3 linked regions of the Cricetulus griseus genome follow. The protein of the gene in region 1 interacts with the protein of each later gene in a pairwise test. Links are inferred from orthologs where the notes say so. Each region holds a gene or a part of one and is shown in the gene's direction. Other genes may lie near its edges. The genes, in order: Dcp1a, Pnrc2 and Rita1.

Region 1 (4,115 bases):
ATGAAAACGTAGTTTGTTTTTTCAAAAATGTTCAATTACACCAAGGTGTCTTCAATAAAGGAAAATGGTTTTTAAAGCAATTTGGTGAAAATAGGGTAGGCATTTTGTTTTACTTTTTAGTAGTACCTCACTACTTAAGATGCCCAATAAATGTTTGGGGTTTGTTTTGTTTTGTTTCCTCTGTGTAACTGCCCTGGCTGTCCTGGAACTTGCTCTGTAGATCAGGCTAGCCTCGAACTCAGATATCCACCTGTCTCTGCTAAAATTAAAGGCCTGTGCCACCACCTCCCAGTTGCTCTTTGTTTGTTTTTAAAGTGATCTTCGTATTAAATAACGACGTTCTTTAATCTGGAACAATAGAAATATTTACCTGGGACTCGGATGAGAAAAAAATATGAGAAAAGGGCAAAAGAAAAGGAGTCCTGTGTAATTCCAGGCAAGCTAGTTTGGCTGCTTTGAAACATTTCTTTCAAAAATTACCAAATTGTTAACTGAAGGTCTGTAGGTGTAGTCTGAGGTCGGAGGTAAAGTAACATACAGCACACACACACACACACACACACACACACACACACACACACACTTTCTGAGTTTTCTAAACGATCACACACACTCTTTCCGAGTTTAGTTTGGCTGCTTTGAAACATTTCTTTCAAAAATTACCAAATTGTTAACTGAAGGTCTGAAGGTGCAGTCTGAGGTCGGAGGTAACATACTGCACACGCACACGCGCGCGCGCGCACACACACACACACACACACACACACACACACACACACACACACACACACACACACACACACAGTCTGAGGTCGGAGGTAACATACAGCACACACACAGACACACACACACAGACACAGACACACAGTCACACACACATACACTTTCTGAGTTTTCTAAACGGTCCATGGAGACGTCATTTCCACAGCAGCATTTCGATTCTGCGCCTGAACCTGAGACAGCCTCTGCGATGGAGTCCCGCCGGCTGACACAAGCCGGGAGCAGCCGAGAGCAGCCGGGAGTGCTCGTGGAAGGAGCTCGGGTCCCACCAGGTGAGCGAGGACTGGGGGCTACTTCCTCGTCACACGCAGCCGCGGACGCCAGCCAGTACCTTCCGGCAGATGCGGACCTTCGGAGACCGGAACCAGGCTCCCAGGATGTGGGAGTGGCGGAACAGAATAGTTAAAGTACCACCCTCCGCAAGGCCGGGCAGCTAGGCGGAAGTGAAGGACTGACTGAGCTGGGGGAACTTTGCCTGGATTGCACTTTCCTGTTCTCTAGTCCGCCCCCGCCAGAGGGGCTCGGCTCCGGGATTCAAGATGGAGTCGTTGAGTAGAGCAGGGCAAGAGATGAGTCTGGCGGCCTTGAAGCAGCACGACCCCTATATCACCAGCATCGCAGACCTCACGGGCCAGGTCGCTCTGTACACTTTCTGCCCTAAGGCCAACCAGTGGGTGAGTGAGGCCCAGCCGCGAAGGGTGCCAACCTGGCCGCTGCCGCCTCTTAAAGGGGCCGCGCAGGCAGCTTAGGATTGGGGGTGGGGGAGTGAAGCAGGACCGCAAAGGCGAGGCCAGAACCTCTCCTAAAGGCCCGGCCAGAACCAGAGGGGTGACGGGGGCACGCGGAATTGGAGGAAAGAAGCGGGAGAAATATAGCAGGGAAGATCTAATGGAGGGGAGGAATGAGGCAGGATCAGTCCTTTGGGGTCGGTTCTGGGGACTTGAGTAATTTTACTTTTTTACTGGTTGCATTGGAAGGATATGAGACAAGTTAGTTTTTTTTGGGGGGGGGAGGTATTTTTGTGACTGAAATCTGTGTTTCAGACTTTGAGAACTATTAGATAAATTACATGTGTCTAATCACAAAGTCCACCCCTCTCCCCCCAACCTACCTAAATGAGGTGATTTGGATTTGAAGCTTAAAAAATCAGTTTCAAGAGTTAGTCCCGCTTTAATCGAACTACTCTAGAGTTTGGGGAAAGATTTCAAGGCATCTAAGGAAAGGGCACTACGGTAAGAATAGGGTTCCTTGGAGACCTTTTGCAGGGAAAAGAGACCGGTGATACCTAATCTTTGATGGCTCACATCTGAGGACTTTTTAGATTTTGTGAGTGGCGATGGAGTTCCAAAAAGTTACAGTGCCTACTCACTGACTTGTTAGCTTCAACTTAAAGTACCTTTCAGTTGTTTACATGGTTTCCCATTTTCTTGTGCTGACTCTTTCTAATTCATTCAACTGTAAAAGCTTCATGCCTTTAATCTGTAACTGTTGATTGAATAGAATTCATCAATGATAGGCGTTCACCCTTCAACAAGTAATGAGGTCCTTGAACTAACAAAACGCTGAAGGACTGGTCTAACTTTTATTCACTGTGACACTGATACATAGATGTAATTTTGTGGAAGTGTATTGTCATTTATGAAAGTTTACGTCAGAAGAAGTTTCCATAATCATTTTCCTTCTCCTTCTGGAGGGGAAAGGGATGTAGGAAGCCACTGAGAATAAAATTACAAACTGTTTTACTGGTATACCTGTTTTAAACAGTGCCTTAGTTTGAAGTATTTTGTATCATTTTTCTCTGCTTCCTCTATATGTAAATTTGTAACATAAGGGCTGCAGACAATTGGTGAGAATTTGCAAGTAGCATTTATAACTGTTACCTATTTGTAGTTTTTCACAAAGGCTTGCAACACTTGAGGATTTTCACCATGGAGTTGTTTTAAAATGAAATTGAAACCTAAGCTGCTGTTTTTTTGGATCTTGATACATGGTGCATTCACCATCATCTTTTCTTATTTATTAGTGGTGAGTTGTAATTTTGCTCAATGTATTTTGGGAGGCAAGTTTACTTTTACTCTGAGACAACTGGCTGTCATCTTTTTCTGATGAGAGCATTTTTTTTAAAGCAAGAAAAGGCCTCAAGAAGGATAAGTTTCATTGTGATGTAGAAGACATGTACAAGAAACAGATCTTTATTTTTAATTTTTTATCACAACAATTTGTTTGATATAACGTTAAGTTTTGATAATCTTTTGGTTACATTTAAATTATCAAGATCCAGTGTAAGCCAAGAACTACAGACTGACAGGATTTTGGGGTTTTAGAAAAAAATAAAAGCACTCTGCCTGTGCCTAAAACCTGACTATATTCTTGTCAAAACAGATGAAAGAATATTAATGGGTTGTATTTTCTTGTTTTGTTTCTTGTAGTGCAGAAGATCAAACCTAGGGCCTCATGATCCTATTCAAGCACTGTACCTCTACCACTGAGCTATATATATCCAGCCCAAGTTATTTCTTAATCAAATTTTCAAATGTTTATTTTAAAAACCTACCAGAATTGCCTACGTCTGAGAATGAGGTCTATCCATGGATTCTTAACAAAGTGTTTGGTAGTAGTCCTTAACTAACCACAAAATTTGTTACTAATGAAAATATTCCTAAATTCTCCAGAGGTGAAACAAAGTATATAAGAAAATTTCCTGAGAGTTAGGGATTTGGCTCAGTGGTATACAGCTTTACATCATCAGCCCCAGACCCTGAGTTCAGCCCTGGTATCAGTTTACTTTCTTTTTCTATTAACTTTGATAGACTGTTAAAGTTTGGTCAGGTTTTTTTGTTTGTTTTTGAAGTTGCAACACAAAATACTTCAACATTAAGATACCTTGTTGAAAGGTTTTAGGTTTGGCAAAGTTAAAGCTGGGACTGGAAAGATGGTTCCTCGGTAGCTAAGAGCACTGGCTGCTCTTCAGAAGACCTGGGTTCAGTTCTCAGCACCCACATGGTGGCTCACATCCATCTGTAACTCCAGTTCCAAGGGATCCAATGCCCTCTTGTGCCCTCTGTGAGTTTCCAGCACACATGTTGCGTAGACGTGTGTACTGGCAAACATGTATGTTTGGTTTTTTAGTTTTTAAAAAAGTTAATGCATAAAAATAAAAAGTAAAGCTAATTCTGGTATTTTGTTTTTTAGTGGTCCTTAAGGTTTAAAATAGAAAAATGCTACAGATGTAGACATGTTGAATTGAACATTGATTACAATTATATAAACACCTATAGAGTTGAATGGATACACAATTTGTAAAAGAACCTGAGGTGCCCACCATAAAAAGCCAG
Region 2 (4,341 bases), on another chromosome or scaffold:
GAATTTAGTGTTCACCTTTAAAACCATTGATTTTGGGATACATAGTATTTTTCTTTTTCAAAAACAAAAAACCAAAAGGTGTCCCTCTTTTTTCTTCCCCGAGCCTTGCTGTCATACTTGAGCCGCATCTTTTTCCTCCCTCGTTTTATTTAGTAAAATAAACAAGGTAAAAAAAAAAATGTAGTAGGGACCGGCCAGCGCTGCTTTTTAGCAGACCCTGATGATGTTGCCTGTTCAGGTCCAGCAGAAAAGCCCAAGTTAGATGAGAGGGGGGCGCGGAAGGAGTGAAGACGGCCGTGTGCAGAAGGGCTGCGGGGCTCGGGGTGGGGAGGCGACCCACTGCAGCCCCGGGGCGGCGAACCACTGAGGGCAGCTGGGCAGGGGCCTGGCCACCGAGGCAGCTGAGTATTTTCTACCCATAAAAAGTGGCTATGTGACCAGCGAGCGCAGCTGGAGGCCGGCGGCCCACGGAGAGCCCCGCAGCAGCGCGGCTCCCGAGGCTGGGCAGTTACTCCCGACATGCTCCTCCCGCAGGATTTCAAACCACCACAACAGCCTGCCCGCACTCGCTCCCCGACCCCAGCAACAGGCGGCGGCCGGCGCCTCATTGGCCGCGACGCGCGGAGCTGCGTCCTCATTGGCCGCCGAGGCGCCGGCCCTCTTCCGCGCTCACAGCGGCCTCCATTTTGTCGGTAAAGGTAGAAGGAGCTGGGTTGAAGACGGAACTGTGGTCTGTGAGTTGCTGGTGGGCAGGTTTGATCGGTGCATCGTTTCTCCCTGGAAAGGGAGGGAGGTTTGGAGGTCGAGAGGGAGTCGCCGCTGCCGCCCGAACTCGAAGTCGGTGAGTGTGGCGGGGGCGGCCATGTTGGCCACCGCGGGCCCCATTGTTGGGCCCCGCTGAAGAGGAAGCAGGGTCGGCAGCGCGGCCCCCTAGCTGAGCCCTGGGGCATCGGCGGCGAGCCCCGGGCTGGGAGTGCGGACCTTGGGACAAAAATATTGGAGGCTTTCTCAGTCTTGTGAGGGTGTATTTGCTAGTTTGACTGTTCACTTTAGGGAGGCTTGCGTGCGTGCGTGCGTGCGTGCTTAAAAATGTCACCATGTTTCGGGACCCGGAGTGTAGAGTCGTAACCTAAAGCGCAATGTACATTGTTGGGAAGAGCATTGGTGTGGAAACGTGTGGGGTTGGAAGCAGAAAATCCGGACTTAACATGGTCCCTAGTTCCTTGGTGTGGTCACAGGAGCGAATGCTTCCTAAGTTTGACTTTAAAATGTAGACATCACCAAGAGTTAAGTGGACGTTTATGAGATCAAAGAAAGTCACGGTTTGATACATCTAGAGGCCTTGAAGTAGCCATTTACTTCTGTAGAAAGTTTAAGCGATCACTTTCTTGGGTTGTTTTCAAGAATTATCTTTCCTTTTCTAGCTAGGACTTCTCTCAAACTTGTGTGCTGAGGAGACTCGATGTTGGCCTCAGCTCCCAGGCTGAAATCAGCAGATTGGCTCATGAAAACTTATGTATTGAGACAAAGAAAAGGATCTAGCAGAAAGCAACATCTCTTATCCTGGGCGTGGCAGCAGGGAAGAGGACACAGAGTGGAAACCCTGCGATCTGAAAAGGAGACTGAAAGGTATCCTATTGAATGATAGATGCACTTCTAACCCATTAAGGACTGTAGCCATGCTTTATCCCTGCCTGCAATCCTAGCACTCAAGAGGCTGGGGAAAACTAAAGTTGGAGGCCGGGCCGGGCGTCGGTGGCGCACACCTTTAATCCCAGCACTCCGGAGGCAGAGGCAGAGGCAGAGGCAGGTGGATTTCTGAGAGCCTGGTCTGAGCGAGTGCCAGGATAGGCTCCAAAGCCACAGAGAAACCCTGTCTTAAAAACCAAAAAAACCTCAGGCCGAGAAGTGGTGGCACACGCCTTTAATCCCAGCACTCGGGAGGCAGAGGTAGGTGGATCTCTGTGAGTTCGAGACCAGCCTGGTCTCCAAGAGCTAGTTCCAGGACAGCCTCCAAAGCCACAGAGAAACCCTGTCTCGAAAACAAAACAAGTTGGAGGCCAGTCTGGTATAAGGCCACCCTGCCTGAAAGGGGCGGTGGTGAATTTAAGTGTGTGGGCCATTTTCTTAGGCTGTACACAGAACGACTAGATCTCGCTAATTTTATTTAGCTTTCACAAAAATAAATTTTTTTTGTTTTTGGTGTTTGATTCAGGACTTGCTTCAATATTTTTGAGGTGAATGCTCTGGTGGGGCAAGTCTGTCTCCTAACAGCTAGCCTTGTTTTCTTTACTAACATTTCTAGAATCGGAGCTATGGAAACTTCAGAAAGGATATGTGGAATTTTACTAGTTTACATTTATTTATTTTCAGGTGACAAAGAAGCTGAAGATGGGTGGTGGAGAGAGGTATAACATTCCAGCCCCCCAATCTAGAAATGTTAGTAAGAACCAACAACAGCACAATAGACAGAAGACCAAGGATCAGAATTCCCAGATGAAGATGGTTCCTAAGAAAAAAGAAAGAGGACACGGGTACAATCCGGCGGCAGCTGCGCGGCAGGCCATGCAGAATGGGGGCAAGAACAAGAGCCTCGCCAACAACCCAAGTTGGAATGCTAGCCTATCAAGCCCAAGCTTGCTTTTTAAGCCTCAAGCTAACCAGAACTATGCCGGAGCCAAATTTAGTGAACCACCATCACCAAGTGTTCTTCCCAAGCCACCAAGCCACTGGGTTCCTGTTTCATTGAACCCTTCAGATAAGGAAACAATGACATTTCAACTTAAAACCCTACTTAAAGTACAGGTTTAAAAATCTTAAGTACTTTTAAATTTTGTGATGTTCACATAGCCATCAGTTGGTTTGACTTTAGGGAAGTTTTATATAAAACTGCTAATTTACAAGTATACTCAAACATTTATGTAGTGTGTGTAGTGTCAGGATAATTTAACTAATTCTACTTGGTAGTCTTGCTAACTAAATTGAAGCTTAGATTTGGGGATCAGTAACCAGCTTTATTGTCTAACAAGAAACCAAACAAAAGACAGTGTTTAGTTAAGATATACAAAGACTGCAAACAAGGTACACAGTTGAGTTACATATTCTAGGGACCCAAACCGTAACATTATAGGCATCTTTGTAAGTAGCTACATATATTTGTGGCAAATGTGTAAAGGCACTTGTAGCTTATTAGAATTAGGTAGATAGCCCCGTGGTCATTTCTTAAATGCAGTCAGTGGATAGGCATTTATGTACCAAATCTCTTTCAAAATATTGACTAGCTTTCAAAGGACACGTTGATAGCATCCTTACAAACCTGCTGAGGTGATCTGGCCTAACTCCTACAAAGCTTGCTTTGCAGGGAGTTGTGTATGTGAAAATTAAAATACCTAGGGAAGAAAAGAGCCATGTAAATACATGTAATCTTGTAACATATGTAAAGTTTTCTGGCCTTTATTCTACAAAAGACTTTTTAGTGTCAATTTGCTGAATGTAAGACCATGAACTTTTTTTTTTAATACTATGGCCTAATTTTAAAGGTCTCCAGTTTTTTTTTTAATTGCCCTTGTGCTTAAGTGCCAGTATATCAATTGTGTTAAATTTTATATCAAAAGGCTTTAAGCTGCTAAGAACATTTCCTGTTTTTAAGGAGATTTTAAGATTCTCTACATCTTTTTAAATCCAAAGATTCATTTTGACTTTATCAAATCCTAGAATGATTAAGTGACCCAGGATTCTTTATGCAAAGTACAAATAGCAAGTTGCTTTTCAGGGCTTATAAGCAAAATCGCCAATTAAGTTCAAAACAAATACTGCCGAAATCAAACATTGAGTATACAAAAGGACAAGTCCATAAAATAATTATGATCTGGTTTTGAATCGCAAAATTCAGAAATAAAACTTCTTTCCTCCCCAGTAGATTGTTTTCATTTTAATGATTTTCGGCTACCTAATCTTGGGATATGACTGTTGGCCTGTGAGGTTACTGCTTTGCTTACTTACTGCTTGTTAAACTGGACCTTCTTTTGAGGCAGGGTCTCTGTAGCATGCTTCCATTAAAGGTGTATGCCGCCATACCCAGCCATATAGTAAACTTACTTTCCCGAATCGCTAATGGTAAAAAAAATGAAACCAATCCTGTGCAACCTTAAAAATGTTGAGTTTAAGACAGTTTAATGGTGGCACATGCCTTTAGTCCCAGCACTCCAGAGACAGAGGCAGGCTGTTCCAGGACAGCCTCCAAAGGCACAGAGAAACCCTGTCTCGAAGGGAAAAAAAAAAAAAAGCTTAATGGAAAATTTCCCCATTCCATGATTATTTACAGAAAATTATCAGGATTTA
Region 3 (2,607 bases), on another chromosome or scaffold:
ACACCCCATCCTTCTGTGATGAGTCATTGTTTGGCTCCCGGCCACAGGGCCTCAGCAAGGAGGGGTCTCGGACAGCCGTGGGGGATGCTGCCAAGCTCTGGACCCTTTTCTGGACTCCACCAGCCACCCCTAGGGGTGGCCACTCACCTCACCCCAGGGAGACCCCACTTCGAGCCATTCACCCCGTTGGACCCACCAGGACAGAGCCCAGCATGACCAGGGGCTCCCAGAAGACACCCCAGGAGGGGTTGGATGCTCCCCACTCTCTGGAGCAGAGGCGTTCCCATTCAGTCACCCACCTGAGTGTCCCCAGCATGGGTCATCTAGATGCCAGTGTCCCCCAGACCAATGGACCTTGGAGTCCCCGGCCTTCCACATCAAGGATGACTGTCCAGAGTCCCCTGGTCACTTCCAAGGCACAGTCAGGCAGTGTTTCAGGACCAGCTGCCCTACAACGAGGGACCGGCCCCCTCAAGCCAAAGCCTCCTTGGAAGTGAGACTCTCACCAGGTAAGCCTTTGGCTCACAGCAAGGACTCAGCTCAGGTGGGGCCCTCTGGGGACCAGGGCCCCCAAGCACTGGAGATGCCTCCATGGTGAAGATGGGTCATACTTTCCTTTGTCCCCACAAGCTCAGGATGTCCCTAGCACTCTCTGCAGGGTTTTTGGAGGTCCTAGAGATGTCTCTCTGGCCATTTCTCAGCCTCTTTGTGCATGGGTGCCAAATCCCACCAGCTCCCTGCTCAGGATTCAGTTTCTACAGGGGTCTGGGGGCCTTAAAGGAGTTTCCTGGGCTGTGTATGGACCCCAAGGGTGGAAAATGAGGAGACATTATTTTAATATTCATGTATTTATTCCAGGTATTAAATGTATTTAGCTCATCAAAACCCAGTGGTGTGTTACCTTTTCCCCCTTAAGTAAAGGCCTCTGAGGATTTAAATAGTACAGTTAAACAGAACCGTGGGTGATTTGTTCATGTGGCAGAAATGACTGGCTGCTGAGGTCTGAGGACATAGACCTCAGGTAATGCTTAGTCTACCCCAATCCTGTCTCTGTCCTGTGATTCCATACATGAGTAGGTGGGTAGTTCTTGCCAGCTCAGGACATAGTAAGAGTCCTTTGCTAGCAATTGTCTTGTTGCGGGGGGCAGGATGTATCTCAGTGGTAGAGTGTTTACCTAACATACATGAATGGGGCCCTGGGATCAATGCCCAGCAACCTCTGCCCCTAACAAAACAGAGCAGGACTTAGTGATGAGCCAGGTGGAAAAGGCAGGCAGGGACAGGCATCTGCAGAGCCCTAGGCCTGGGCTGCTAGGTGCTGCCCTCCCTTGCACTGCAGTTGGGGCCCTGGATCACAGAGCTTCACTCAGGTCCTACATCCTTCCCTGGATGATGACAATGGGGTCCTGAGCCTCTCCTGGTCCCCCTCCCTCCATGAGCATTTCATGGATTCCATTGGGCGACTCACCATCGTCTAGGTATAGCCTGGCCCAGGGACATGTGTGTACAGAGGTCAGACAGCCATATCTGGGCACAGACACACTGCACTTTAGCCACATAGGATGTTTAAGCTTCTAGAACTTGTACAAAGGATTGGTTAGTCTACCTCCTTTTTCTCTATCCCTTCCCTGTTGATAGACACAGGCTAGAAATAGAAGCACACATTCTTCTCCTGCCTATACTAAAGGTCAGCTGGAGCCCAGGGTGATGCCACCAGGTAGTTGATACCAGGCCTGGAGTGTGGTTAATACCAGGCTGTGGTGTCAGAGCAGCTGGGGGTGATAGAACGGGCGCAGCCTGATGGGAACAACAAAAGGTAGAGGGAGGGGCACTAGAGAGATGACCCAGCAGTTAAGAGTGCACACTGCTCTTCCAGAGGACCTCGGTTTGGTTCCCAGCACCCACATCAGGTGGCTCATAACTGCCAGTAATTCCAGTTCTGGGAATTACTGACCTCTGCAGGCATCAGGCATGCATGTGATGTATACACACACACACACACCTTTTAAGAAAAGGAGAGTAGCCAGGCCGTGCTTGTGCACACCTTTAATTCCAGCACTCGGGAGGCAGAGGCCAAGGCTACACAAAGAAACCCGGTCTCAAGAAGAAAGGAAGGAAGGAAGGAAGGAAGGAAGGAAGGAAGGAAGGAAGGAAGAAAGGAAGGAAGAATGAGTGAATTGGGGACTGAAGGGTTAAGAGAACTTAACTGCTCTGTCAGAGGTCCTAAGTTCAGATATCACCCTCTTCAAGTGGCTCACAAACATCTGTAACTCTAGTTCCAATGAATTTTGCAGCCAGCTATGGACTCCATGGGTACACCCACATAAATAAAATAACCCTTTTGTTGTTTTGTTGTTTTTGAGACAGGGTTTCCCCATGTAGCTCTGGCTGTCCTGGCACTCACTCTGTAGACCAGGCTGGCCTGAACTCAGAGATCACCTGCCTCAGCCTCCCACATAGCGTGCACCACCACCGCCCCCACCATCCCCCTTGACCATCCTTTGTTTCTTTAGTTTTGTTGTTTTGTTTTGAAGTGGAGGAAGCCAAAGAGGTGGCCCATGCCTGTAAATTCAGCATTTAGAAATCAAGAGGCAGGTGGATCACCAG

Evidence for each region.
Region 2: the proteins of Dcp1a (region 1) and Pnrc2 interact in binary tests that used the Homo sapiens proteins (3 or more experiments, as listed by UniProt). The link is inferred for Cricetulus griseus from reciprocal best matches to the Homo sapiens genes DCP1A and PNRC2.
Region 3: the proteins of Dcp1a (region 1) and Rita1 interact in binary tests that used the Homo sapiens proteins (3 or more experiments, as listed by UniProt). The two-hybrid records come from large-scale screens. The link is inferred for Cricetulus griseus from reciprocal best matches to the Homo sapiens genes DCP1A and RITA1.

The regions. Positions count from the first base shown.
Region 1 is NW_023276807.1:189,261,151-189,265,265, reverse strand, and holds the start of Dcp1a (mRNA-decapping enzyme 1A), read left to right. Parts: upstream 1-1,237; 5' UTR 1,238-1,319; coding exon 1,320-1,454; intron 1,455-4,115. UniProt on the Homo sapiens protein: Necessary for the degradation of mRNAs, both in normal mRNA turnover and in nonsense-mediated mRNA decay. Removes the 7-methyl guanine cap structure from mRNA molecules, yielding a 5'-phosphorylated mRNA fragment and 7m-GDP.
Region 2 is NC_048595.1:17,424,306-17,428,646, forward strand, and holds Pnrc2 (proline-rich nuclear receptor coactivator 2), read left to right. Parts: upstream 1-1,490; 5' UTR 1,491-1,629; intron 1,630-2,373; 5' UTR 2,374-2,391; coding exon 2,392-2,811; 3' UTR 2,812-3,918; downstream 3,919-4,341. UniProt on the Homo sapiens protein: Involved in nonsense-mediated mRNA decay (NMD) by acting as a bridge between the mRNA decapping complex and the NMD machinery. May act by targeting the NMD machinery to the P-body and recruiting the decapping machinery to aberrant mRNAs.
Region 3 is NC_048597.1:100,419,581-100,422,187, reverse strand, and holds part of Rita1 (RBPJ-interacting and tubulin-associated protein 1), read left to right. Parts: coding exon 1-497; 3' UTR 498-509; intron 510-2,607. UniProt on the Homo sapiens protein: Tubulin-binding protein that acts as a negative regulator of Notch signaling pathway.